Stegostoma tigrinum: one gene and its partner. The protein of the gene in region 1 interacts with the protein of each later gene in a pairwise test. Links are inferred from orthologs where the notes say so. Each region holds a gene or a part of one and is shown on either strand. Other genes may lie near its edges.

Evidence for each region.
Region 2: the proteins of cep72 (region 1) and pin4 interact in binary tests that used the Homo sapiens proteins (3 or more experiments, as listed by UniProt). The two-hybrid records come from large-scale screens. The link is inferred for Stegostoma tigrinum from reciprocal best matches to the Homo sapiens genes CEP72 and PIN4.

The regions. Positions count from the first base shown.
Region 1 is NC_081355.1:19,598,224-19,613,697, reverse strand, and holds the start of cep72 (centrosomal protein of 72 kDa), read right to left. Parts: upstream 7,109-15,474; 5' UTR 7,006-7,108; intron 3,812-7,005; 5' UTR 3,707-3,811; coding exon 3,643-3,706; intron 1-3,642. UniProt on the Homo sapiens protein: Involved in the recruitment of key centrosomal proteins to the centrosome.
Region 2 is NC_081368.1:50,284,022-50,299,460, reverse strand, and holds the start of pin4 (peptidyl-prolyl cis-trans isomerase NIMA-interacting 4), read right to left. Parts: upstream 8,033-15,439; 5' UTR 7,831-8,032; coding exon 7,797-7,830; intron 2,475-7,796; coding exon 2,407-2,474; intron 1-2,406. Other genes in the region: pla2g12a (group XIIA secretory phospholipase A2), read left to right, coding at 13,901-14,099.

The DNA of each region.
Region 1 (15,474 bases):
ACCATGCAAGAAAACAAACTAAATTACAGGAGAAGGGTACATACAAAATTTAAAAGCTAAAGTCACTCAGAGAAAAATAAATATGAGCTTCAATGGAGAACTTGAAATTCCTGTGATGTTGTGGCAGATGTAGTCCAGTTCCTTTCTAGAACCACAATTTTTTTTTACAACCGAGTCGTCTTTCTTCAAAGCAGGTTTTAAGGCTCCTTTCAGGTAAAATCCTTTCATTGCTTGTGACATACTCTGAAACGTAACAGAGACTTGTACTGAACTGGAGGGAAGAGAGCTGCTGGCACTGTTCCAAATGCATACTTTCTTGATGTTACTGACCTCTATAACAATTAATAAGCTTATAATCATAGCTTAAGGGTTCTGTGTTACAATGATGGTGACCAACGTCTGAGCCAAAAAGGCTCACATGCTAGGTAATTGACATGCTCACCAAGTCTATGAGATTGGTTGCAAACGTTTTGTCACCCTGCTAGGCAACATCATCAGCGTTCTGTTACACATACACCATGGTTTGCTGGGGTGGTTAGTATTATTTCTGGTTTTTGTTTCTCAGTCATTTGTGCACAGGGTCTATTTCATTGGGTTTGTTGGAGTTCCAGTCGGAGTATCAGGCCTCCACGATTTCCCTGACAAGTCTCTGTCTGGCCAGTGTGATTATGGATGTGTTGTCCCAGTCAAACTTGTGTCTCTCGTTATCTGTGTGTACTGAGACAAGTGAAAATTGATTGTGTCCCTTGGTGGCCTGTTGGTATTCACGTATCCGTATTGCCAATTTTCCTCTGGTTTGGCCGATGTAGTGTTTCTCACAGTCCTCGTATGGTATTTAGTATATAACCCCAGTTTTGCTGGTTTTGGGTACGGGATCCTTTATGTTTGTCGGTAGATGTCATAGAGTGGCTGTCGGTTTGTTGATACCTCAGGAGTCTGACTAGTATTGTGGTCATCTCTGAATAGCCTTGATGTATGGTAGGGTGATTAGTAATTCGGGTCGTGTTGCGGTCTGTCCATCTTGGAGTTAACGGCAGATTGTGCTCTTCGGGTATCTGTTTCTTTTGAAGATTCCGTACAAAGTGTTCCTGTTCTGCTTAGTGTAGTTCCAGATTGCCACAACGTGTTGTGGCTCGTTTAAGTAGAGTCCTGATGCTGCTCTGTTTGTGGCCGTTGGGGTGGTTGCTAGTGTAATTGAGTATTTGGTCTGCACGTGTGGTCTTTCTATATACACTGGTCTGGAGTTCCCCGTTGTTAATGCATTCCACCATTATGTCCAGGAAAGGTAGTCAGTTTTTGTTCTCCTTCTTTTAATCTGAGAGGGATGTTGTTTATGTGTCAGTGGGTTTCTTCTAGATTTCTGCATTTAAATAATCACAAAAGGTGTCATCTACATATTGGACCCAAAAGTTTGGATTGTATAGTGGGAGGTGCTGTCCATTTTAACCTTTGTGTCACTGCTTCTGCAATTAGTCCTGAAATTTGGGACCCTATTGGTGTTCTGTTGATTTGTTTGTATATGCTTCAACAACTACCTTTCCTGGACGTAATGGTAGAAAGCAAGAACAACAGGCAACTCCAGACTAGCATACATAGAAAGATTACACATACAGACCAAATACTCAATTGCTCCAGCAACGATGCCAACACCCACAAACGGAGCTGCATCAGGATACTATTTAAACAAGCCACAACACATTGTGGCAACCCGGAACTACACAAAGCATAACAGGAACTTTGCACTGAATCTTCACAAGAAATAGATGCCCGAAGAGCACAATCCGCCATTACCTCCAAGACAGACAGACCGCAACAGGAAGACACAACATGACCCAACTCACTAATCATCAAGCACATTTCAGAGATGACACAACACGGACACTTCAACAGAGGCACACTGGCGATGTTACCCAACAGGGTGACTAAACTTTTGTACCCAAACCCACTGGCTCAGCAAGCATGTCCACAACCTTATCCACAACACAAGCTACAACTCATCTCAAAAACTTTAGGCCCATGTTCTAGTCCCACCTGCTCCAGGAGAGAGCCATAACATGTCTGGGTAGACTGAAAAGAACTATAATTGTTGTTTTTTGCACTGGTTGGGAAGGTGATCAAGAGATAGACAAGTACAAGGAACCATTTCAAACTATCAAAGATCAAGACTCCTTGAATCAAGGAAGTGCCCTCAGCCGGCACCTCTCCCTTTCTACCCCCAAATAATGAGTTTCAGTTGATCTCCTTTCTCCCTAGGCAATATCTACAGTCAAGATGTCTGGGTGGTTTGTCATTTTTAGATTTCATAGAGAATTTCAACAGCGGCCACTGACATTGTCCGTGGAACTGGCCAGACGTGTTCTGATAATTTAATACTTTGGAGGTTTGTAGAAAAGTGGCTACTGTTGCTGGTCAGGTGACTTCCCCCATCATTTTAAAACCAGGTAAAAACCGAACGGACTGCGGATGCTGTAAATCAAGAACAAAGAGAAAGTTGCTGGAAAAGCTCAGTAGGACTGGCAGCATCTGTGAAGGGAAAAAAAAAGTGTTAATATTTTGGGACTGGAAGGAAGCGTCACCGGACCTGAAACATTAATTGTTTTTTTCCTTCACAGGTGCTGTCAGACCTGCTGAGCTTTTCCAGCAAATATGTTTATGTTGATATATTTTAAAACCGATTCCTGGCTCAGTGAAAGTTGATTCCTTTCAAATAAATGCCACAGGTGTTGAATCAGTCAATGGAATCATAGAATAGCCCACATTATACAACAATGAGGCAATTCTGTTAAATTAAACTGCAGTAATAGAACTAGAGGACATCTCCAAGAGGAGGGAAACCCCCAAAAACAAAGCTGTATGCCATTGCTTTATAAGCAATTTAAGTTTATTTATTTTTGTACTCCACTCTTTTTGTAATAACAGCTCACATGCCAAACATTTTCTAAATTGCTTGCCATTCTCATCCCAGTCATAAAGTTTCAGGTTCACATCCCATGGCAGTTTAACATAAAGATCAAGGCTGACCCTCTTTTGCAATACAAACAGGGCTCTAGGTTGCCAAATCCACCATCCTTCCAAGGCCATAAATGTTCTCTGTAATGGACTGTAAAGATCCAGCCACATTCTGAAGAAGAGCTGGGGTGCTATCCCCTGGCAAAGGCTTATCCTGCAAACAACATCACAAAGGAAACTAACGCCAGGTTGTCATCACACTGCTGTTCGTGGGACCTTGTTCTGCTCAAACTGGCTGCCACATTTCCTAAATTACTGCACTGACTAACCTTCAGTGGTTGTAAAGCATTTTGAGATGAACAGTGATCATGAAAGTCCCTACAGTGCATAAATGCAAATCACAGCATAAGTCTTGGCAATTTTGAAATCAGGGAGTAAGTGACTTATTTACTTGATGTTCTGAGAAGAATGGACATGCCTAATGTCACCAGGAATCCAGTACAGTATCTCTGAGTTCTGACCCTCAGTAACCCTGGTGAGCAGCTATCCAGGCCTAACTCAGTTCCCAGGAAAAAAAAACACAGCACTTCCGAGCGGAACGGGGCGGGCAGCAAGGACTCGACCCCGACCCTCGGGACGGAAAGTGACCGAGACCTTGGTTTGACATCCCCACCTGAACCCTGTCACGCTTACCCAGCCGCTGTTCCTTCAGATCCAGCCTCCGCCGAATCCAGTCCTCTGTTATCATCAGCGCCATCCTTTCAAATCGGGTCTCAAGGCGCAGGCGCGCTGCCACCTGTCATTCAACGCTGAGGGGCGGGGCAAGATCCTGGAGACTCCGCCCACAATGTCTTGTTCACCGCTTGAGGAAGGAAGACAGGGAGAGGGGAAATGTAGACAGTGTTACTGGAGGTGGACAGGGAGAGGGGAGAAAACGCAGACAGTGTTTCTGGAGGTGGACAGAGAAATGGAACAGACGATGTTGTTACAGCAGGTAGACAGAGTGGGGAAACACAGACAGTGTTACTATAGGTTGAAGCTGGCGAGGGAGAGCGTTAACATGATTTTAGTCTAGAAAGAAGAGGTACACAATATTACTGTATGTGGAGACAGAGAGAGCTCAGAGAGTCATAGCAGATTCAGTTACCAAAAGGGGTCATATTGTTACTGTAGATGACAAGAGGGTGAGAGAGGGAGAGAACACAGACATTAATATTTCAGGTAGAAAGAGAGTACAGGAATACAGAAAATATTACCCCAGCCAGAGAAAGAACACAATATTACTGTAGCTGAGAGAGCCGACAAACTGTATTGCTACTGGCAAAGGGAAATATTATAGTCAAGACTACAAAATGTAAAATATTTTTGAAGCTCAGAGTGGAAATAAGTATTAATTTTCATTAATTAATCAATTAATTTATGTGCTACTGATAGAATGAGAGGAGATTCATAGGCAATATCACCAGCAGTTTAATTGAGCTGAATGGCCCGTGCTGCATTTATTATGCCTTTCTAAATAAATAGCAGTAGCGCAGAAGAAGAAAAATAGAGAATGTGAATAAATAGCAATAATGGAGGAGAGAATAAATAAAGAACAAAGAGTAAATTCCATCCTTTTGTGTGTCACATTAAAATTAACTACATTATATAACCTCTACATTCAAAGGAACGTAAATCAAGTTTATGCAACAATTCTTCCTTAATGGTTTAAGCCCTAGAATCAACTATGACAATGTCCTTATATAGAAACTATAATGGAACAGGTATTTAACAGGGTTATAATTACACATCAGGCAAAACATGACACATGGGGAGGGCCAAAGACATAGATGCAAAGGAGATATTAGGAGAGGAGACAAAAGTTTTGTCAAACAGGTAAGTTTAAACAAGCAGAGAAAATTACAGTTGGTGGAATTAATTCCAGAGCTTAGGTGGATGAAGATATGGTTGCAAATGGTCAGACAAAAGGAGTAGGAGATGAACAAGAATTTACAAATGGAGGAGTGTTGTAATCTAAGGGGCCTGTCAGAGATAGAAGGGAGAGGGCACTGAAGGATTCAAATATAAGGGTGAGAATTTCAAAACGGGTGTTTCCATGCTGGGAATCAATGTAGATCAGCAAGCACAGGGTTGTTGGATAAACATTGTGTGTTAAGATACGGGTAGCAAAGTTTTCAATAAGTTTAAGCTTATGAAGGGTGGAAGGTCAGCCAGAAGAACACTGAATAGTGGAGTGTGGGAGTAACAAAAGTATGACTGGAGTTCCAGTAGCAAGTAGTCGACAGCAGGGGTGAAGAAAGATATAATGATGGAGGTGAAAGCAGACAGTCTTTACAATGATGAGCTCATGAATCAAAAACTCAGACCAATAGAAAACAGGAAGCTGAGGGCATAAACAACCTGTGCTCAACTGGATACAGTTGCTGGGGTGTAGAGGGAGTCAATGGCAACGCAACATGGCACATGGGGAGACCCAAGGACATGGGTTTTCCCCAGTGCCTCATTGATAAACAATTCTGGTGAACCTGATCTGTGCCTTCTCCAAAGCCAACACTGCTAGATTCACTGCTAGAAGTTCACTGTTTATATGTGATACTTTCGTAAGTGGAATCCTTCAGTGGAAATTAGCAGAAATTTAAATTTAGAAAATGAAATTCTGACTTTTTGTCAAATTATGGTGAACTGGAAGTATTAAATCACCAGCCACCATAGAAAGGTGACAGCACAGTTAAAGGTCATTCAGCTCATCATGTTTGTTTCTGATTGGTTAGTTACTAACATTGACATTCTCAAACACTGTATAGCCAGTTGCGTGGTGCCTCACCTTATTTTTTGTAGCAAAAGTTTGCCTTTAAAAAGTTGTTGCAGCAACTGTGGTAATGTTATTGTTCCATCACCTGTTAATATCACCACACTCGCTATTTATTTCAAATGAATAGTTTCTGGCATTTAAACTTACACGAGTGTTGATAAATTCATAACCAAACTCAAAATGTCCCAAATAAAAGCCAAAAAAACACTGCAGATACTATAAATCAGAAACAAAAAAAATGTTGCTGGAAAAGCTCAGCAAGTCTGGCAGCATCTGTGAAGAGAAATCAGACTATTCATTTTGGATCCAGTGACACTTCTTCAGAACTGATGATAGCTAGGAAATGTCAGTTTATATGCGGAAGATGGGGTGCAGGGGTGTGGTGTGGGTATGGAGTAAACAATATGTTGGGCTACAACCCAAAGAGAGAAGAACAGGTCAAACAGACAAAGGAGTGGATAACGAGCTGGCTAGGAGGTTGAATAGCTATGAAGGGACACTGTTAATAGCTAAACAATAGGTAGCGTGCAATGGCAAACAAATGATGAAGGGTCTAGGCCCGAAACGTCAGTTTTTGTGCTCCTGAGATGCTGCTTGGCCTGCTGTGTTCATCCAGCCTCACATTTCATTATCTTGGATTCTCCAGCATCTGCAGTTCCCATTATCTATGTGACAACAAGGCCTGACATGTGAGGTGGGGGTCTAGGACAGTGGAGAGTTCAGGCCTTTAAATTATTGAACTCCATATTGAGTCCAGAGGGCTGGAGGGTTCCCAAGCAGGAAATGAGGTGTTGTTCTTGTAGCTTGCACTGAGCTTCACTGGAACACTGCAGCAAGCCTGAGACAGAGATGGTGGCCAGGGGACAGGGTGGTGCGCTAAAGTGGCAGCCAACTGGATGCTCAGGGTCTATTTTTTGTGGGACAGAAGACGATGTTCTGAAAAGCAAAGCAGTCAAATGCTTCATTTCCCCAATGTAGAGGGGGAACCACATTGCGAGTAGTGAATACCGTAGACTAGCTTGTGAGAAGTGAAAAATATCCCGCGGGGTGGGGGGGGGGGGCGGTGTTCGAGGAAATGAGACGACTAAAAGTAAATGCAGAATAATTTTAAAATGAAAGGGACTGGTGTGTGAGTATATCATGTACAGAAACTGCAGGTGCCAGAATCCAGCAGTTCACTCCACTGGGCAAATGTAACGTATGAAATGCTTATGACTTTTCATCAGCGACACTAAAGTACTTACCCTGCTCTCAACATCGATCGCCAGCCTCAAGAAAGCTGCACTTTGTACCGAACCTGAGGCTCGGTTTCGTGGCATCAGATGGTTCTTGTTAACAGTTGCATCAGGGCGCTGAAAGATCCTGCAGGAAGCGGGAATCAAGATGACACCAGCTGAAAAGCTTGCAGGATCTGGGTGTGAACAACCCCCAGTGAACAGGCGTCAAAGAGCTGCCCAGCGGGGGCTCAACTGAACTACCCAACACCTTAAACACTGAGACTATCTTATTAACTTGCTCGGGGGCTCTTAATAATGATGGAGAGATTATAAATGTATAGAACGTGTTTGATCATCTGTTATCAGCCATTGGAGTGTATTTGAATGCACTGTTTTTACACGCAGCCCATTCATTGTGTTCAGCAAGCTCACGATAAAAATTAAAATATATTAAAAACTATTAAAGAAAGTTATAAAATAAAATGTGAATTGTTTGCTTTTCATAGTCACCAACCATGGTTTATACAAGCTGCGATAATTTAACGGTATTTCCGGAACCCCACATTTCTTTGTTTCATAATTACACCGTTGTTAGTGTGTGAGGTTAAATCCCTGGATTGTGTTCAGTGAAAGGGTTTACCCACAGATATTGTTCAAACTTGACACCTGATTAATGCTTCGCCGGCACTGCATCCTCAACGCAACGGATCCAGGAATTTTAATCAGGTATAGCCCATCACCCGAGTTTTAGCTTATACTCAATCCCCAAAATTTACAGTAACTGAAATTAAAGGGAAATGACAGAGGTATTCTTCCTGCCAAAAATGGAAAATCTCAATTCACCAAATCACGCTCTTGCACCATCAGGCACGACTGAGGAGAGCGCCTAAGGCCATTCGGTCCCTCGAGACTCGTCTATCATCAGTCATGCAGCGCGGAGGCAGACCTTGGGTTATGCCTAATATAATCCCAAACGAAAGCAGTCCCAATTGTCTGCTCCTGGCACATATCCCTCCAAACCTTTCCTATTCATGACCTTATCTAAGGGTCTTTTAAAGGCTGTAACTCCCACGTCCGCCACTTTCTGAGGAAGTTCACTCCACACGAACCACCCTCTATGTAAAAAAAATGCCGATGGTGTCTTTTTAAAATCTCTCTCCTCACGCCTTGAAAATATAGCTCCTAGAATTGAAATCTCCCATTCTAGTGAAAAGACATCTACCATTAATCCCTACCTATATCTCTCATGATTTTATACACTTCTATGAAGGTCACATCTCAACCTCCCACACTCCAGCAAAAACAGACTCAGCCTATCCAGCTTTTCTTTTTAACTCCAGCCTTCCATACCCGGCATCATCTTGGTAAATTTCTTCTGAACTCTCTCGAACTTGAAAATACCCTTCCTATAACTACAGCACACTGTACTTCAGGACAGGCCTCATCAATGTCCTGTGCAGCCTCCACATGACTTCCAAATTCCTACACCCAATGGACTGAGCAATGAAGACAAGTGTGCTAAATGCCTTTCTAGATACTGGTCTGCCTTCAAAGAACTATGTACATGAACCCCTTTGTCTTTCCGTTCCACAACATTACCCAAGGCCCTACCATTAATTGTATTAGTGCTGCCCCTATTTGTTGTACCAAAGTACAATACCTCACATTTATCCACATTGAACTGCATCTGTCATTTTTCAGCGCATTGACATATTTGATCAAGATCCCTCCGTAATCTTAGAAAAACTTCTTTACTCTTTGCTCTGCTGCAAATTTTGGTGTCATCCACAAACTTACTAATCATGCCTTCCAAATTCTCATCTGCATTGTTTATAGAAACGTCAAACAAAAGATCATGGCTACTCTGCTTGTAACCTCAAGTCCATAAGACATAGGAGTGGAAGTAAGGCCATTCGGCCCATCGAGTCACTCCGCTATTTAAATCATGGCTGATGGGCAATTATACGCCACTTCCCTGCACTCTCCCCGTAGCCCTTGATTCCTTGTGAGATCAAGAATTTATCGATCTCTGCCTTGAAGGTATCTAACATCCCAGCCTCCACTGCGCTTGGTGGCAATGAATTCCACAAGCCCACCACTCTCTGGCTGAAGAAATGTCTCCTCATTTCCGTTCTAAATTTACCCCCTCTAATTCTAAGGCTGTGCCCACGGGTCCTAGTCTCCCCACCTAACAGAAACAACTTCCTAACATCCACCCCTTCTAAGCCATACATTATCTTGTAAGTTTCTATTAGATCTCCCCTCAAGCTTCTAAACTCGAATGAATACAATCTCAAGTCCACTTTCCCCTCTCCTTCTTTGAGTCACTTGTCAATCAAGGTCTAATGTATCACAGGCCTTAAAAATGTTAAATGAATTAATCTGAATAGTTCCAGAGAAGTAGTGGAAAGGATAGCAAAGATGATTCTCGATAGGAGCGAGAGAGATAGGGTAGTTGTCATGGGGGACTTCAACTTTCCAAATATTGACTGGGAACATGATAGTTGGAATACTATAGATGAGTCAGTTTTTGTCCAGTGCATGCAGGAGGGATTCCTGACACAGTATGTAGACAGGCCAACAAGGGGCGAAGCCACATTAGATTTGGTACTGGGTAATGAGCCTGGCCAGGTGTAAGATTTGGAAGTGGGTGAGCACTTTGGTGATAGCGATCACAATTCTGTTATGTTTACTTTAGTGATGGAAAGGGATAGGTGTATACCACTGGGCAAGAGTTATAGCTGGGGGAAAGGCAATTACGATGAGATTAGGCAAGATTTAGGGAGCATAGGATGGGGAAGGAAACTGCAGGGGATGGGCACATTAGAAGTGTGGAGCTTATTCAAGGAAAAGCTCCTGTGTATCCTAGATAAGTATGTACCTGTCAGGCAGAGAGGAAGCTGTAGAGCACAGGCGCCGTGGTTTACGAAGGAGGTGGAATCTCTGGTCAAGAGGAAGAAGAAAGCTTATGATAGGATGAGATGTGAAGGCTCAGTTAGGGTGCTTGAGGGCTACGAGGTACTCAGGAAAGACCTAAAGAGGGAGCTCAGAAGAGCCAGGAGGAGACATGAGAAGTTGTTGGCAGATAGGATCAGGGTAAACCTTAAGGCTTTCTATAGGTATTTCAGGAATAAAAGAATGACGAGAGTAAGATTAGGGCCAATCAAGGATAGTGGTGGTAAGTTGTGTGTGGAGTCAGAAGAGATAGGGGAAGCACTAAATGAATATTTTTCAACAGTATTCACTCTAGAAAACGACAATGTTGTTGAGGAGAATACTGAGATACAGGCTACTAGACTAGGTGGGATTGAGGTTCACAAGGAAGAGGTATTAGAAATCTTACAGAGGATGAAGATAGATAAGTCACCTGGGCTGGATGGGATTTATCCTAGGATCCTCTGGGAAGCCAGGGAGGAGATTGCCGAGCCTTTGACATTGATCTTTAACTCGTCATTGTCTACAGGAATAGTGCCAGATGACTGGAGCATAGCAAATGTGGTTCCCCTGTTCAAGAAGGGGAGTAGAGACAACCCTGGTAATTATAGACCAATGAGCCTTACCTCAGTTGTCGGTAAAGTGTTGGAAAAGGTTATAAAGGATAGGATTAATAATCATCTAGAAAAGAATAAACGGATTAGGGATAGTCAGCACGGTTTGTGAAGGGAAGGTCGTGCCTCACAAACCTTATTGAGTTCTTTGAGAAGGTGACCAAAAAGGTAGATGAGAGTAAACCGGTTGATATGGTGTATATGGATTTCAGCAAGGCGTTCGATAAGGTTCCCCACAGTAGGCTATTGTACAAAATGCGGAGGAATGGAATTGTGGGAGAAATAGCAGTTTGGATTGGAAATTGCCTTGCTGAAAGAAGACAGAGGGTGGTAGTTGATGGGGAAATGTTCAACCTGGAGACCAGTTACTTGTGGTGTACCGCAAGGGTCGGTGTTGGGTCCACTGCTGTTTGTCATTTTTATAAATGACATGGATGAGGGCGTAGAAGGATGGGTTAGTAAATTTGCAGATGACACTAAGGTTGGTGAGGTTGTGGATAGTGACGAAGGATGCTGTAGGTTGCAGAGAGACAGAGATAAGCTGCAGAGCTGTGCTGAGAGGTGGCAAATGGAGTTTAATGCGGACAAGTGTGAGGTGATGTACTTTGGTAGGAGTAACCGGATCCAAAGTACTGGGCTAATGGGAAGATTATTGGTAGTGTAGAAGAGCAGAGATATCTCGGCGTCCAAGTACACAGATCCTTGAAAGTTGCCACCCAGGTTGACAGGGCTGTTAAGAAGGCATACAGTGTTTTAGCTTCTATTAATAGAGGGATCGAGTTCCGGAATCAAGAGGTTATGGTGAAGCTGTACAAAACTCTGGTGCGGCCGCACTTGGAGTATTGTGTACAGTTCTGGTCACTGCATTATAAGAAGGGTGTGGAAGCTTTGGAAAGGGTGCAGAGGAGATTTACTAGGATGTTGCCTGGTATGGAGGGAAGGTCTTATGAGGAAAGGTTGAGGGACTTGAGGCTGTTTTCATTCAAGAGAAGAAGGTTGAGAGGTGACTTAATTGAAACATATAAAATAATCAGATGGTTAGATAGGGTGGATAGGGAGAGCCTTTTTCCTAGGATGGTGACGTTGAGCACGAGGAGGCATAGCTTTAAATTGAGGGGTGAAAGATATAGGACAGATGTCAGAGGTGATTTCTTTATTCAGAGAGTAGTAAGGGAATGGAACACTTTGCCTGCAGCGGTAGTAGATTCGCCAACTTTAGGTACATTTAAGTCGTCATTGGATAAGCATATGGACATACATGGAATAGTGTAGGTTAGGTGGGCTTCAGATCGGTATGACAGAACATCGAGGGCCGAAGGGTCTGTACTGTGCTGTAATGTTCTATGTTCTATGTTTTCCAGGGAGAAGAAATCCACAGACTGAAGATCCTCAGAATTCACTCAACATTTAGCAGACATAGGTTTGTGCAGGCACAGGCCGGGGGCTGGGTGGGGGGGGTCACGGTGGCTCAGTGGTTAGCACTGCAGCCTCACAGCACCGGGACCCAGGTTCAATTCCAGCCTCAGGCAACTGCCTGTGCAAAGTTTACACGTTCTCCCGTGTCTGCATGGGTTTTCTCCAGGTGCTTCAGTTTCCGCTCACAGTCCAAAGATGTGCAGGCTAGGTGGATTGGCCATGCTAAATTGCCTGTAGTGTTCAGGGGTGTGTGTGTTATAGGGGGATGGGTCTGGGTGGGATGTTCCAAGGGGCAGTATGGACTTGTTGGGCCAAAGGGCCTGTTTCCACACTGTGGGGTATCTAATCTGAAGTGAAGGGGAAAGATTTAAAAAAGACCTGAGGAGTGACTTTTTCATGCAGAGGGTGATGCAAGTATGGAAGACCAAGTGGTGGAGGTGGTTACAATGACTACATTTAAGAGGCATCTGGATAGGTACATGAATAGGGCGGATTAGAGGGTTATCAGCCAAATGTTTTCAAATGGGACTAAGTCAGTTTGGAACTATCTGGTGGACATGGACAGGCTCGACCAAAGGGTCTTTTTCTGTGCTGAATGACTCTGTGACTCTGTAACTGAGATACTCCTAAATTTTTCACTGTGTCCTCTCGTTCTGGGCTATCCACACACAGACAAAACATTCTCAATTTTCACACACTCAGATCGCTTCAGGATTTAATATGTTTTAAAACAAACACCTCACTCTTTGAAACTCCAATGAGCATGAGTCCTACCTGTTTAATCTTGACTCATAACATTATGAAGGAATCAGACAAATGAATGTGCTCTAAACTGCTTTCAATGCAATTATATGCTTTATGTAAGGACACAAAAACACTAGAGGGATGTTTAGATGCAATCTCACAAAGGTGTTGTACAACTCTCACAATACTTCCCTACTTCACGACAAAAACATTCCATTTGCCTTTCTAATCACTTGCTAGATCTGCAAGTCAATGTCTTGTGATATATATAATATATACCAGGACAACTGGATCAGATCCTGCTGTACCATAAGAGTTCTGCAGTTTCTCTCCATTCAAATAAATCACTGGTTTTCTTTTCCATAGAAAAGGAAGTGAAGATTTGACTGCATTAATTGATGCATAATCAATTGTCACAATGTATATGATTCAATATTATTTTCTTGGTAGATTACTCTCTCTCACAGTGGTGGTGTGCACATTAACATGTTGAACCGTCTGAAGTTAATAACCAAGACCGTGGCATTAGGCCTCTTAATCCTGCCCTGGCTCAGCAGTAGCTCTTTCACTACTGAATCAGAGTTCATAAATTCAGCCTCCACCCTGGAGGTTTGATCATGTTTATGTTGATACTCTAATGCTGTATTGAGACAGTGCTGCGTAACTGGAGGTTTCAGCTAAGACTTGAAAACAAGTTCCTGCCTATTTCCTGAGGTTGACAGGAAAGAGACCAAGCTCCAAGAGAATAAAGAACTTCTGCTGGTGTCCTGGCCAATTTTTATCCCTGACAAAACCTCCATGACTTTTTGTAGGAATTTTCTGTGTACATACTTTTGTAATGTAGGAAGTGAGGCAATGACAACACTTCAACTGCCCTTAAATGACAAAGTTGCTTTGAAATATCTTGAGGTCATGAGAAGAAATACGTAATTACAAGTGTCTCTTTTCTTTGGTTGTTCATTAATACTTTCTATTTCTTTCTTGTTTCTGTCTGGATTCCAGGCAAAAATTTATTATATATACTACTTAGATAAATTAGTTGAAATTTGATCTTAAATTTTAAATGTGAGTCATAGAAATACCATGACATTCTCACAAAGAAAACAATCATGAGCAATTTGATGCAACTCTTACTAACAGGTGTCCTCATTATTCAAATACATTTTCTTATCCATACATGCTGTCATCATATTAATTACAGGATAGAAACTCCTATGAATAGGATCAACATGCATCACTAACTTTCAGGTAAATGTCATTTGTAGCTGCAATACTTAATTGCACATTCTGTACATGACAGTGCAAAATCTTTATTCCCTGCCCATTGGGTCATCCTGTCTCAGCTTATTTCCTCCTTGCTGCTTCAAGTAATTATTATCTGGGATGTCCATTAACCAGCTCAAAATAAGTTCAAAAGCACACAAGAAGCACAGGCTGAAACAATATTTTAAACTGATTTCGAATCATATGTCATCACTTGAAACTTGAACCCTATTTGTCTCCCACAGTTGCTGAAAATTTCAAGCATTTTCTGTTTTATTCAGATTTCTAACATCATAATATGTTGCTTTTTTAAGTTATGTTAGCTTATGTTCAGGAACAAATAAAAAATTCTGGAAATGCTCAGCATCTGTGAAGGGAAAATGAGTTAACATTTCGGGTCGAGTGACCCTTCCTCAGAACTGGACGATGTTCATCTCAATCTAATGTAGATTAGATAGTAACAGTTATAGTAACAGAGAACAAGAACAATTTGGATTTTACGTAATGACTTTAAAACATCTCAAGGTGTTTCGGAGGAGCATTATCAAACAAAATTTGACACTAAACCACATAAGAAAGTATTAGGACTGTTGAACAAAAGCTTACACAGGCGTGGAAAGTGAGATAGAGAGACAGAGGTTTAGTGAATAAATTCCAGTGTTGAGAATTTTAGCGGCCAGAAACTCTCCATCAACGGTGGAGTAATCAATCTGAGATGCACAAATAGACTTTTTTTGAGGAGTGCATAAATTCAAAACATTGTAGGAGGAGATATAAGGGAGAAAGGTGAGACTATCGAGGAATCTGAAAACAAGAATGAGACTTTGTTTAAAGTTGAGATGCTACAGGATCATGAAAAACTGTAGATCTGTTAACACAAAGGTGACCAGAATTGTAGTCTGGAACTCCGAAGTGCCAAACACCGGACAACTAAAATCAAATCAAATCGTAACTAAAATCAAAGTAATGAGGGAACAATCAAAACTAATAACTTGAGAGAGATTGTTCAACGAAACTTCATATCTGATTAAACTCATAAGCATATAGATTTTTTAAAAAAAGATATACTTTAAACAGTAAGAAAGAAATCCAATCACTAATTAGAAGTAAATTTATGACTGAGAACAAGTTTTTTTCTTCATTCATAAAGGAGGCAAAAACCCTAAGGTTACCTGAAGATAAATGTGTAACTTGTGGATGTCTTTCAATTAAGGTGGTCGCTCATACTTAAACCAATTAGGAATACACGGTTAACACTGAATTATCTCTCAAATTAGGATCAAAAACTGAAGTTTCATGGAAAAACTCAGCAGGTTTGGCAGCATCTGTGAAGAAAAATCAGAGTTAATATTTTGGGCCTGGTGACCCTTCAACTCTGATTTTTCTTCATAGATACTGCCGTACCTCTGAGCTTTTCCAGCAACTTCTGTTTATGTTCCTGATTTATAGCTTATGGAGCATTCTTTCGGGTTTTGTATCCCAGATTACTTTATCATAGCTAGATTTAATTTAAAAGTTTAATTTT
Region 2 (15,439 bases), on another chromosome or scaffold:
GGGTTTAAAAGGAAAAGGCAAAGGTTTTAAAGGCATTGGTCAAAATATTTCTAAATTCTCTAGATTCCATAATGGTTTGAGGGGATTGGGAAATGGTTAATGTGAGAACTCCAATCAAGAAGGGAGGGAGACACAAAGAGTGAAACCAAAGGCTGATAGTATTATTTTCCCAAAGACAAATGTTAGACTGTTTGTTATTAAGAAAAAAATAGCAGGACAATTAGAAAAGCTTAACACAATCAAACAGAACCAACACAGTTTTGTGAAGGGGAAAACATGCAATCAAGTCGCTTGACTCATTGCTGGAACAATCAGAGTTAATACTGGGGAACTAGGTGTAGTATTTTTGGATTTCCAGAATGCATTCAATTAGTGTCACATTACAGGTTATTATTATTACAAGGGCGCAGTACGGGGGGTAATGTACTAGCATGTAACGGAGATTGGTTAACGCACAGAAGATAGTGTCAGAATTAATGATTTTTTCTTATCAGGTTGGGAAGACATAACTAGTGGAATGCAATAAAGATCAGTCCTAGAGCCTCAATTGTTTACTATGATATTATTGATTTGGAGGAGAGGCAGAGTGTAATGTTTCCAAATTTGCTGATGATATAAAAATAGGGAGGACATGTTGAGATATGGACTTGAGGGATTTACAAGGGGACATAGATATAAAAGCAAATACTGTGGATGCTCGAAATCTGAAACAAACCCAGATTTTGGAAAAACTCAGCACGTCTGGCAGCATCTGTGGAGAGAGAGCCAAGTTAATGTTTCAAGCCCGGGTACAACTCTTTCTGGTTGACTAAGTCGGCAAAACTTGCCAGATTGAGTTTAATGTATGAAAGTGTGAGATTATTGGAAATTTTGACCTTTGTGCCAGATGGGATTGGATCTTAAAAGGAGGGTACAACTATAAGGGGTATTTGTGAGTCCATACCTGGGCTACTGTGTATAGTTTTGGTTCCTGTGTTTAGAAAAAGATAAACTGGTGTTGGAAGCAGTTCAAACTTGATAAATTAAGCTGATTCCTGAGATAAAGAGGTTTATTTATCAGGAATGGCTGAACAGGTGAGGCTTTTATTTGCTAGCATTTAGTAGAATGATCTTATTAAAACATACAAGTTACCGAAGAAGAGGGCCTACATTTAAAAATGAGATACAATACAATTTATTTTCCCGATGATAGTGAATGTCTAGAATTTCTATACCCTAGAGAGTTGTGATGGCTGGATCACTAAAAATATTTAAAGAGAAGGTAGATTAATATGTGAAATATCGTGGATCTGAGGGGTGTCACAAAAGGAGTATTTCAAGCCTTGTACAAATCAATGATCTTGAGGTAAGTTTGAGGGGCAAAATGGCCTGCTACTGTCCCTATTTCCTATCTTGTACCAATCAATTGTAGAGTATTTTCACACTAATTTCCTGCCTAACTATATTAATATAATCTAATTCTGATTCTTTGAAGTATCTCTTGTGATAAAATTTAAGTATCTAACAATTTGGCGTAACGATTAAAAAGATGCAGGAAAGTGAGAATTCAGAGCTCTCAATGTGAAATAATTAGATACTTCTACTAAAAGCAAACTAATAATATATTATTACACCAATAACATTAAAAAATACTTTGCTTTCGCTCTGTCTTGGGCTAAGGGCATCGCTGGCATGGCTAACATTCGCTGCCATTCCTATTGCCCTTGAACTGTGTGACTTTCTAGACCATTTTCAGAGGGTAATTACAATTCATCCATTTTGTTGTGGGTCTGACATCACGTGTAGTCTAAATCAGGAATGGATGGCAGGCTTTCCTCATGAGTGACACCAAAGGGTATTAGTGAACCGAATCTGTCTTAACAATAATTGACGATAGCTGTCATGAGACCCTTGCTAACAGTAGGTTCACGTTCCAAATTTATTAATTTACTTTAACTTCCACCAGCTGCTGTGGTGGGATTTGAACACATACCCCTTTTGCATTATCATGGTTCTGTGGATTCCTCATCCAGTGACATCATAGCACGTTACCACCTTGCACAGCATAGGATTCACATCAAAAGATCTTAAAATAATATATATGACACTTTTTCTGGAAAATCTGTTTTGCAGTCAGATGAGGAATTACTCTGCCAAAAACGTTAACATTAATCATTGAAGTTGCTACTGATTGACAGAATAATGTTTGCTCTGCTTTCAGAGCTGTTTTCAACTCTTCCTCGTTTTAAAAATGCATTTTCAACAAACATCGTAAAGCATCAGGAAACTCAGGATTCATTTTAACTTCTAATTTAACATTTGCCTAGATTATATACTTATTCCTTATGTGATTTTTGAACTAATAATCTACAACATGAAGGTATAAGGGAGTGGCCAAAGAAGATAATTTACACTCTGATTGCTTACCTTCACTGCATTACCCCCTTTGGATCCTTTTTCTTTCTTATCAGTACTATCACCACTGGCTGCAGCACCTTAAATGTACAAAAATGGAATATGTTTCTTTATTTTTTTAAGTAAATGCACTGGTGATTCATAATCCACGATATTCAACTCATGGCTGCACGAAATAGAGCTTCAGCTATATTGTTTCTGGAATATTTGGCTACAGTATTAAAAACTAAAGATTTGATTCTCCAAAAAGAATAAACAATAACAAAGCCAAAATGCAGCAGTTGCTGAAAATCTGAAATAAAAACAAAGTACATGTCTGGCAGCATTTTTGGGGAAGGAAACAGAGTTAATGCTTCGAGTCCAGTGTGATTATTCCCTCGAACAGATTCAAAAAGAAGAGTTCTGAAAAGCTACAAAGAAGAGTCAGATTGTGCTTGAAGCACTAACTCTATTTCTCTCTCCACAGATGCTGCCAAATCTACTAGGTTTCTAAACCACCTTCTATTTTTACTAACATAGTAACTTGGTCACTGATCTCACAAATAAGGAAGTTATGCTTCAGTTATACAGGACACTTGTGAGGCTACATCTGGAGTTCAGTGTGTTGGCCTCCTTTTTTAAGGAAAGATGCAAATGAAATGGAAGCAATTCAGAGAAGATTCATTAGATTAATACTTCAAATGGATGGATTCTCTTATGAAGACGGTTTGGTCTGGCAAGTCTTGTATCTCCTGGAGTTTACAAGAGTAAGAGACAACTTGATTGAAACATCTGAGGTCCCAAGGGGTCTTGATAGAGGGGATACACAGATGTTTCCTCGTGTGGGAGAATCTAGAACTAGGGACAACTATTTCAAAAAAAAAGCTGTTGCCCATTTAAGATGAAGATGACATGTTTTTTTCTCTTAGAGGGTAATTAGTCTTTGGAACTCTCTTCCTCAAAACACAAGGGAAGCAGAGCCCTTGAATATTTTTCAGTGAAGATGGATAGATCTTAGAGTAAAGGGAAGACCTTTAAGATAAGGAGAAACTTCTTCAGCCGGAGAGCGGTGAATCTGTGGAAGTCACTGCCTCAGAAGGCTGTGGAGGCCAAGTCATTGAGTATATTCAAGACAGAGTTAGATAGGTTTTTGATTGTCAAGGGTTAAGGAGAGAAAGCAGGAGAAAGGGGTTGAAAAGCTTATCAGCCGTGATTGAATGGTGGAACAGACACGATGGGCTGAATGGCCTACTTTCTGCTCCAACGTCTTATGGTCTAGATAATTAATATGTGGGTAAAAGGTCATTGGGAGTAGATGGGATTGTGGTTTGAGATTGCAATCAGATCAGGCTTGATTTTATGCTGGTGGAGCACATTTGTGCAGCTATATGGCCTACTTCTTCTCATAATTTCTATGTTTGTATGTTGTAGGAAATATATGTACATCCAGTTCAAAGTGGTAAAGAGTACTGATGCCACAACTGGCATTACAGTATGATTTCAAGTGTGTGGGTTTACTCCAGCATTTAAAAGACAGAAGATCCAAAGTTTTTGAGAAAACTTGCAGCTCAGGCAATGGATGAGGTTGTAGATTTGCTTGCTGTGCCGGTGTGTTTGATTACAGGCATTTAAGCAAGACAGACTGTCAAAAAATGAAGCCAGAGGGATCCAACACTCCCCAAGGTACACAAGGTAGGGGTCCCCCCAGACCCACTGTCTCACTACCAGGCACATCAATATGTAGACTAGCCAAAGAACTACAACAGAAACTGAAACACTTAGTTGACAACACTACTGCTCCAATCACTCCTCCCAGAATTCCTCAACATCATCAAGGACACCAGAACAGAAGAGGACAAGATAATGGTATCCTTTGATGCAGCAGCACTATTTACATCCATAAACATCGACCTAGCCAAAAGGACAATTGCCACGCTACTGGACGAATCAGGAAGGCAGGCACCTCACGTCATCAACAAGGACAGCACCCTGAAACCCCTGGATCTGTGCCACGCAACCCACTTCACCTTCAACAGCCATACGTTTAAACAAATGAGTGCAACACCAATGGGATTCCCAATATCAGGACTGATAGCAGAAGCGGTAATGCAAAGGTCAGAACAGACAGCGCTCCCTACCATTCAAACAAAACTCTGAGTCCACAATGTAGATGACACGTTTATGATTATCAAACGCACAAGACTGGAAGAAACCCACTGACACATAAACAATATCCTCACCAGAATAAAATTTACAAAAGAAGAGAACAACTGACTACCCTTCCTAGGCATAATGGTGGAACGCAAGAACGACAGGGAACTCCAGACTAGCATACACAGAAAGACAATACATATGGGGCAGATACTTAATTCACCAGCAACCATCCCAACACACATAAACAGCGCTTCATCAGGACATGATTCAAATGGACTACAACACTCTGCAGCAATCCAGAATTGTGCAAAGCAGAACAGGAGCACATATAAGGAGTTTTTAAAAGGAATGGATACCCAAAGAAGCACAATCCACCATTACCTCCACAACAGACCACAACAAGGAATAACACAGCCAGACACACCAGTCACCCTACCGTACATAAAGGACATATCAGAGATGATTCACAGACCATAGGTATCAGATTAGCCCCCAAACCAACAACCACCCTGCAACAGCTACTGACAAATGTGTAGGACCCCATATCCACAACTGACAAAGCTAACGTAATATACAAAATATCATGCAAGGACTATCAAAATATCATGAGAAACATTATATAGGCCAAACTGGAAGAAAAGTGACAATAAGGATGCACGAACACCATCTAGCCACCAAGAGACACACCCAGTTCTCACTGATCTCAATACACGCGGACAAAGAAGGTCACAAACTTGACTGGGACAACACACTGATAATAGCACAAACCAAACAGACATTCCAGGGAATTCCTGGAGGCCTGGCATTCTCAGTGGATCTCCGTTAACAAATACATTGAACTGGACCTGATATACAACCCACTGAAGAACAAAACTGGCAGTAATACCAACCACCTCAGCAAACCAAGACATATCATTAACAAGCGGGACAGAACACCAATGTTTTACCAGAGGCACACTGACGAAGTTACCTCGCAGGGTGATGGAATATCTGCAATCAAACACACTGGCTTGGCAAGCAAGTCTGCAATCTCACACAAGATCCAATTATTGACTCGGGGATGTTGCTGGACTGGAGAAGATATCATTGATATAGAGGTACAATTCTGTAGATGATGACAGTCTAATGTTACATATTTTGAATGGTGACTCTTAATGTGTGACACCAAACAGGGAATGTGACCTGGTAACTTGTCTATGAGGAGTCACAAATCCCTAACTTTGACCCGTATCTCGCATGGCATTTTCTGGCAGCAGGCATTCAGAAGTGGATGAAATAAAACTAAAAATTGCAGACACTGGAGAAGTTCTGGTGATGAGTCACTGCACTCAAAGTTTTAACTCTGCTTTCGTCCAACAGATGCTGCCAGACCTGCTGAGTTTCACCAGCAATCTCTGTTTTTGACTCAGAGGGAGAAACCTTGCCCAGCATTTCCCAGTTTCTAATTGAAGGGCACCTGAGCAAATCTTATCACCCACCCTACTGCAAAATCAGGTCAAGGAAGAAAGGTTGGAAATTTTCTGATATATGTAACTAAACAGCATATCATAAGACCATAAAACCATAAAACATAGGAGCAGAAATTAGGCCATTTGGCCCATCGAGTCTGCTCCACCATTCAATCATGCGTGATAAGTTCCTCACCCCCATTCTCCTGCTTTCTCACCATAACCCTTGATCTCCTTGATAATCAGGAACCTCTTTATCTCAGTCTTAAAGGTACTCATTGACCTGTCCTCCACAACCTTCTGTGGCAGTGAATTCCATAGATTCACCACTCTCTGACGAAAGAAGTTTCTCCTTGTCTCCATTCTAAAAGGTCTTCCCTTTACTGTAAGGCAGTGCCCTGGGGTCCTGGACTTTCCTACCAATGGAAGCATCTTCCCAACATCCACTTTGTCCAGACCATTCAGTATTCTGAAAGTTTCAATTAGATCCCGCCTCATCCTTCCAAACTCCAACGAGTATAGTCCCAGAGTCCTCAAACGTTCCTCATATGTTAAGCTTTCCATTCCTGGGACCATTCTCATAAACCTCCTCTGAACCTGCTCCAGGACCAGTGTATCCTTCCTGAAATATGGGGCCCAAAACGGCACACAATACTCCAAACATGGCCTGACCAGAGCCTTATAAAGCCTCAGTAGTACATCCCTGCTTTTATATTCAAATCCTCTCAAAATAAATGCCAACATTACATTTGCCTTCCTGACTCAGCCTGCAAGTTTACCTTGAGAGAATCCTGGACTAGATCAGCCAAGTCTCTTTGCACTTCAGTCTTCTGAATTTACTCCCCATTTAAAAAAAGTCCATGTTCCGATTTTTCTTACCAAAGTGCACGACCTCACACTTTTCCACATTATTCTCCATCTGCCACTTCTTTGCCCATTCTCCATAACATGTCCTTTACCTTAAGCTCCCTTATCTAGTATGCATCATTGCACAACACTAAATTCAGTGTTGTCTGTTCCCTTGTGGACTCCGCCATGAGCTGCTCCAAATGTTGCATCCCTGTGAAATAATCTGCCAGATGATCATTTTACAATGAGAAGTACAAATGTATCGCACTAATGGCTGCACAATTTAGTCCCTAAAATAAGATTAAAAGCCAAAAGAAGTGCAGATGCTGTAAATCAGGAGCAAAAACTCAAGTCACTGGAAACACTCAGCAGATCTGGCAGCATCTGTGAAGAAAAATCAGTTAATGTTTCAGGTCCAGTGACCCTTCCTCAAAACCGCAGCCTAAAATAAGATTAATCCTTTAACTAACTATTTCCAGTGCGTGCACGTCTACATAACAGTAAATGTTATTTAGAAAGCAGAACACAATCTCCTCTGAGTTAGTATACTGGCTGCTGTAAATCAGCAATCTCTGGCAAACACAGCATTACGAATAAGGAGGAAAATTAGACCAAAACATTAAAGTCTGGCCTTGTATCAGAATTACATAAACGTCCCTTTGGGCTTAAGCTTTAGTCCAACATCAATTGTAAACACTGTAGAACCAATCTCTCCTTTTGTTACCCAATATTGTGCTCCTGGGATGCTGCTGGGCCTGCTGTGTTCATCCAGCCTGACATTTTATTATCTTGGATTCACCTCCCAGGCTTCATTTACGTGAGCAACACTCGCTGTCAGGAACGAGTGAAATAATCACGACTGATACTAACATCCATGTCTACCCTTTTGAATTTATATTTGCACAGCCACAACAACGTCTAGACTTCAATCCGAGCAATGATACGGTTAGACAATGTTTAAGCTCGACACACCTTTCCCACCCTTTGCCTTTCCCTTAGGAGGCATCTTGAGAGCGAAGGAGACAGACGCCCGGCGCCTGATAAAAGGTCCGCAGAATTGGAGCTGTCAAACAGCCCTTTCGGCCTATTAATGAATACCCAAACGAGACGGCAGCGTCCAGGTTTTCACGTCGTCAGATGTTGCGGTGAGAGAATTTTCTCGAAAAGTTCTATATCAGAAGAAGAAAAGACAACTCATGTCGTCATCAAGCAGCGCCGACGAAGTAAGGGGCCCACAGCGACAGAACAAATCTCGGCTGAGTGTGAACACTGAACAGTAAATAGTACAAGGTGAGTAATGGAGATAGTCTCCTCCTCTCCAGCTTACAGGGTGAGGGAAAGTGCTTTCGTTTTGGATAGAAATGTTAGTTTTTTTTTGCTAAATGTTGGGGGGGGGGGGTATATGCTGGTTGGATAATAATGCTGAGTCAGGCGCCTCTGCAGCAGTTTATGTCTGAACTTTTAACCAGGAAATGAAAATGAGCACAAAATGGTAATAAGGGTAGTAGGAACTGCAGGCGCTGGAGAATCCGAGATAACAAGGTGTAGAGCTGGATGAACACAGCAGGCCGAGCAGCATCAGAGGAGCAGGAAGGCTGACGTTTCGGGCCTAGACCCTTCTTCAGAACGGAGCGTCAGCCTTCCTGCTCCTCTGATGCCGCTTGGCCTGCTGTGTTCATCCAGCTCTACACCTTGTTATCTCAGAAAATAGTAATATACGTTTACATGGGACGTAAGCTCAGGGAGACATTGCTGTGGTTTTCACAATACCGAGTGAGCAATTGAGAGGCTCAGGCTACTGCTCTGGGAACACGAGTTTGAATCACAGCTGATGGAATCGAGAGTTGGTCTTAGGAATGGTGATTATGAAACAATAATCGATTGTTGTAAAAACTCGTCTGGTTCTCTACTGCCATCAGGGAAGGAAATCCACCATCTTCACCCAGCCCAACCTACAGATTCTAGATCCACGGCAATTGGCTGACCGTTCTCTGAAGTGATCTAGCCAGTCACTCCATTCAATTAGGGATGGATAACAAACCCTGAGCTTGCCAGTAACAGGTATCCTATGGAAGAATTTTTTTTAATTAAAGATGCCTTTTGTGTCAGGCCCCATAGTACTTTGGTAAGCAATTAATTACTTTTCAAAATCAATAACTTATTATTTATGTTACTACACCAAATCATTTGCACATAGAAATGTTGTATAAGTAGTAAATTAATGAGTGAACGATCACATAATCTGTTTAGGGTTTTGCTAGCTGTTGCGAGTGTGTTGGGCTGCACCTGATCAAGCAAATAGGGGCTTTCTCTGAATTGATAAGACACTTGTAATCTTGATCAGATGGGCCAGTGAGCTGAGGAATGGCAAATGAGTTCAATTTAGATAAATGTGAAGTGTTGCATTTTGGTAAGGTAAACCAGATAAGATTTGGACAGTTAATAGTACGATTCTTGGGAGTTTTGCTGAACAGAGCGACCCAGAGGTGCAGGTGCATAATTCCTTCAAGTTCGATTTGCAGGTAAACAGAGTGGTGAAGAAGGATTTTGGCGCACTTGCCTTCATTGTTCACAATGTTGAGTATGGACATTGGGACATCATGTTGCAGTTGTACAGGACTTTATTGAGGACACTGCATACGATTGTGATCGTCCTGCAATAGAAAGGATGCTTTGATTTTGATTTTATTGTCTATGTACTGAAGTACAAAAGTACAGGAGTACAGTGAAAAGTGGATAATGTTACCACGTAAGGTGCCATCTTAGGTATGAGTACCGAGCTACAAAATCTTAAGACTAAATTAGAAAGAGAGAACAAAGTTAAAAGTAAAACATTGCAATAATTATAGAATAGTGTAAAATGTATGAAATAAAGTTAAAGTTACACATTGCAGACCTCCTTAGTTTTAAGTAGAAAATAAAGAAATGAAGCTGAAAGTTTAAGCGTTATAGTCTCTCAAGTGCTTAGCCACAGTTTGAGGAACCACCTTGAGACCCGAAGCCCATGCCAGGCTGAGAGTCTGGCAGACCATGCTACCAGGCTGGGAGAGCGCCCTGCTGGCTCTGTGCTGAGTCCAAGGCTGGGAGTCCGTGGCCAGCAGGAGAGAAAAGAAGGGAAAAGAAAACACACAAGAGAAGAAACAAAAGCAAATGGATGAAGTGGAGGAGGACCCTCTGATGCATCTTATTCTGCTCTTATCTTGGAAGATAGATGTTTTTGAACTTGAGAGTGTGCAGAAAAGATCTACAAAGATATTGCCAGGACTGGAGAGTTTCATTTATAGGGAGAGCCAGAATAGGCTGGTGGCTTTTTCCCTGGAACGTCAAATGCTGAGGAATGACCTTTTATACAGGTTTATAAAATCATGAGGACCATGGATAGGATGATTATCGAAGGTCTTTTTCCTTGGGTGTTTGAGTCCAAAAGTGGAGGGGATAGGTTTAATGTGACAGGGAAATATTTAAAAAGGACATGAGGGGCAACGTTTTCATGCTGAGGGTGGTGAATGTCTGGAATGAGCTGCCAGATGAAGTGGTGGAGGAGGGTACTATTACAACATTTAAAAGGTATCTGGATGAACAGGAAAGTTAGAAGGATGTGGGCCAAATGCTGGCACATGGGACTAGGTCAGATTGGGATGTATGGTTGGCGCACATGATTTGGACCAAAGGATCTGTTTCCATGCTGTATGATACTATAAGTAAGGAGATGACGAAGATGAGATTAGACCCAATCGAGAAAAGTGGGAGGAATGAGATGATTGAAAGTCAAGAAAAAGGTTATAAATAAGTGATCATTTTTCAATGCAGCAACATAATCTTAGAACATTGTTTTTCCTGGATCTAGTTCTAAAGCTTGCACATGATTGCGCTGCATTAATTTAGGCTATGTTTGTGCTAAGGGTGGTCATTGGAATAAACACAATTGGAAGTATGATTGCAATGGTTCCCATAACTGAATAATTTGCTGAAACCTAAAATGAAGATCTAACAAAAAGCTGATGCAAAAATTGCTATGTTTCTTATGTCTGCTGCAACAACGAGAAGTGAACCAACCACCCTGTTCTCTCCTTGTAACCTTTGTCTTCAAATATGTAAGTTTCTTACAAATGCATTGGCTCTTTAAACCACTGCCTGTTTAAAAACATCCCATGATGATTTTGGTCAAGTGTAGAAATTAACGAGTATCTCTTGAAAAGAGGCAATCCAGTGACTGCACACAGAGAAAACAAGGGATCAAATGTGAGAATTATCTCTCCCATTCAGAACAGGGAGAAGTATATTTGATGATAATGATATCCATAGGATGGGTGTTGCTAGCCACTTCAAGTGTTCAGTGCTCATGAGGTGTGGGTGGAAGTTCAGCAGGAGTGCATTGTGGCTTTACGATAGGAGACCAGGTATTTTCGGTCTAATTTTCCAGTTTTCTTTTCTTTGTACAGCATTTATACTAAGGCCTTGAGCTATCGTGGGCCGCAACCAATGTCAATCAGCAGAGGAGCTCCACTTATTGATATTTTGAAGGCCTCAGAACCTTAGGATATTCTTTTCAGCCCTTATTCAATCTCCAGTTTTAAGTATTTGCAGTTGTTCCAACACGTGCCCAAGGGCACATTCCAGCCTTCAAATTGATCCTTATCCATCCAGAAGACTGTTGTTCTGTCCCTAACATAGTGAAATATCTAGGTATTTTGAGAAGAGGACGAAGAGGTGCAAGTTGACAAAGGTAAACCTAAAAGACTAACATGAAAATGAGATAAGGTATTGAAAGACAAATAAATTTCGACAGCAAGGCCTACATTGTGGTGGGGGTGACACATCTGAAAGGCCTGAATAAGGGAGGAGGGGGGGGAAATGAGAATCAGAATCTGTAAGCAGATTAGTTTTGATTGTGGAAACAAATGTTTATTTAACTTTTGTTTTATTGCCTTATTAAGTGTTTCATGTCCTTCTATCTTGGCAAAAATCTAATAACATGAGGGTCAGAATCTATCATTCAGTGTGGAGCAGGCTAGGTGAGGGTAGAACCACAATTTGAGACTTCACTGTTAAAATGAACATTCCACGCTGTAAAATGAACTTGGGAAAATTGACTTCTGTTTTGAAGCTTCTATATCTGCTTTTGTCAACATTTCTAGACTATGTTTTTGAAAGTACTGTTTAATTCAAAACCATGATGGTTAGCTTTCCTAGACACATTATTACAGTATGCATGTTGTAAAATTAGCAATGACTGTTGTAAAATTTATGTCTGCAGCAAAAATAGGATAGATTTGAGTGTTTGGTAAATGGTGAGAAGATAATGAGCAGAAGTCCAAGAAAAGTATAACTGTGTCTCTGTACATGGACTGTTCAATGTAGGGAACAGGATCAAAAAATAATTTAAAAGGGTAATGAAATGTCAGTCCTTGAATTCTAGTCCTCCGAATAAAAAAGAGGAAGGATGTTTTATGAAGTTGTATTAAATTCTGGTTGGATGCAGTTCTATAAACCACGCTTCAGGGTGTATTGGCTTTGGAAGGTGTGTTGTGCAGATTATCTATTCTTATTCAGAGAGCTGGTGCTGACATAATAGGCTCAATGGCTTTATTCTGCACTGTCATAATCTGTGATTCTGCAGATAATACTAGGGCTCCAAGCCTTGGTTTATGAGGAGAGTCGTTACAGATTAGGTTAGTATCCACTGGAATATAGAAAAAATTAATTGAACTTTTTAGGATTTAGAAAACAATTGATGAACTAAAAGTGAAACTTTAATAGGTAGCAACCCACAAATGCATAAAAGGGAAGCATGACCTTTAAAATCAGAGACAAGCTCTTCAGGAGAGAAGTTAGGAAACACTACTTCTTCGCACACATTGTAGAATTCACTCCTGCAAGAAGCATAAGTGTTAATTGAATTAATTGTGTATAAATTACTCGTTGCCAGTTTGGGATATTAAAGGATGTGGAGCCAAGGCAGTTGCTTGGAATTACCATGATCCCGTAAGATGATAGAACAGCCTTCAGGACGAAATGGTATACTCCTTTTCCTGCATCTATATGCTCCAATTTGTTGTACATTCAGTAATTGTGGTACCTCGCACAGATGTAGTGCAAGTTGGTCTTTGTATGATTTGATGATGCATGGGGATGAAAGATTATAAGGGACATACAGGAATGTGGAGTTGAGGTTAAAGTCAGATCAGCTGATATTTTATTGAATGTTGGAGCAGGTTTGAATGGCCAAGTGGTCTACCCTTGTTCGTTGCCCTTATATATGTTTGCATGGTTACCATCTTGAGGTAATGTTTTGATCTTTTATCAGTAATGTCAGTTTAATCATTGCTATGGTAATGAAGACTTAAACTCCAGTGTAGATTGCTTTTTTTTTTAGCGATTACGCAGGGAATTTGAATAACCTGTATTGTGTCTTTTACAACATTATACTTTTTGAATGCGATATTAGCCAACACAGCAAATATTTGAGATAATGGGAACTGCAGATGCTGGAGATTCCAAGATAATAAAATGTGAGGCTGGATGAACACAGCAGGCCAAGCAGCATCTCAGGAGCACAAAAGCTGACGTTTCGGGCCTAGACCCTTCATCAGCAAATATTTCATCTGTTCGACTTCAAGGACTATCATTTGCTTCTGTTATGAAGTAATGGAATTTATGGTTATGAAGTTTGAATTTTGAATTTAGAGAATATATTTTGAATAAATTTGATTTCATAGGCCCTCTTCTTTTTTTCTCTTTCTCCCCCGACCCCATTCTAGATTCGCAACAGTGCGAACAGATGTGACATTTTTCATCCAATTTGGCATGCTGTTCTCGTCCATGTGACCAACACTGATGTTTGTACAGCATGACAGTCCTGAAGCAGTTGCCAGAAGAATATCTATCTACAACAGCATTCAAAAGTTCAGTAACCAGTGCTGTCTGACTGCACTAGATTACCTTGGTGCTGAAGTCACTTGCTGAACATTTTTAAAATTTGGCTATGCAATGCCAGTGAACCTTTGCAATAGTATTTTATGTTGTAATCAAAAACTTGAAGTGAAAAGAGTTTCAGTGCAGAGTTTCCATTGAGGATGCATTTGCTTGTCTATGTGCTTGTGGGAATTATTTTCAAGAGTCATGGGTACTATTCAGAAGTTACACACTACAAAGACTGGATGGGGAAGCTGAAAACAATTCGTAACGGAATTCATAAAATTGACATGTATTTAAATGCAGCACTGGATTTATTAGGTGGAGAGGATGGGATCTGCAAGTACAAATGCAGTGATGGTGAGTAAAATGCATAGTAATTACAGAACTTTGAGGTGAATAGGATTTTGTAATTCCATGTAAAATAGAGAGTTAAACCATTTTATAAGTTCTAATGGCATCACTACTCAGATTTCTATTCTGCTGAGTAAGCTTTCTATGAAATGAGGCAATTATTTTCAGGAAATCCATTAATCTGCAGTTTACTAACTCAGTCATTCTGATGTGCCATCAAATGTTTCTTACCTGTGTTATACAAGGGTTAGTGATGTTTTGTGGTAAAGAAAGAAAAATGCCATTTGTCACCAAGTTACATGAACAGTTTTCTTTATTGAGGCATGGCATTAGATCATCTGAAACAGAGTTCAATTTGAAGTTTTATTACAGAGTGTCCTTGTAAATTAGATTGTTCTGATAAGAATGAGTAGTTGTCAAATGAGACATTCAGCCTGTCAAGGTTCATTCTTGCAATTAATTTGAAATAATTACAAAGTCCAGGACTGTGTATTTTGTGATGGGGCTGGTCCTGAGGCTCAGTGTAAGAGCTCGGTAGTCAGTCCAGACCCATGACAGCTGATACATCCAAAGGACAATTACGTAGGCAGCTACTTGGGTAACATACCTTCCTGAGGTTCCTGAATAGAGGAGAATGACAATTGTGGGATAAGATCATAACACCATAAGATACAGGAATAAAATTAGACCACTCAACCCACCAAGTCTACCCAGCCATTTGATCATAGCTGATAGTTTCTTAGTCCCATCCTTCTGTCTACCCCTAACCTTGATCACCTTCCATAATCGAGAACCTATCTATTTCTGTCTTAAAGACACTCCAAGGCTTGCCCTCCACAGCCCATGAGCAAGTTTAAATATTGTTTCAATGTTCAGGGTGATGGCTGAGAAGTGTAATCTGTGCCAGCAAAAACAGGAGTTGCTGGAAAAGCTCAGCAGGTCTGGCGGCATCTTTGAAGAGAAGTCAGAGTTAATGTTGCAGGTCTGGTGACCCTCCCTCTGGGATGAAAGTAGAAAGCAATAAAATAATATTGGAAACACTGATAGTGATTCCAGAAAATGATCTCAACAAAGAATTGCCAACAATGTAAAAGGGAAATCTCTTAGTGGTATTCCCTGTAAACATAAATGTGGAAGTCGAGCCTATAAAGGCTTCAATAGATTACATAGCAAAATAGCCTACAGTACAGTTATGAGAAGTCCTCCTGAAAATAATGACAGTTTCATTGCTAATAATCAGGAAAATGATTCTATGATCTTGCAACAGATGCAGCATGAAGAAACTTAGTTGGAGGGAATATGCACTTTATTCTGAGATACGAGATAAAGGTCAACTGGCTTTGGTA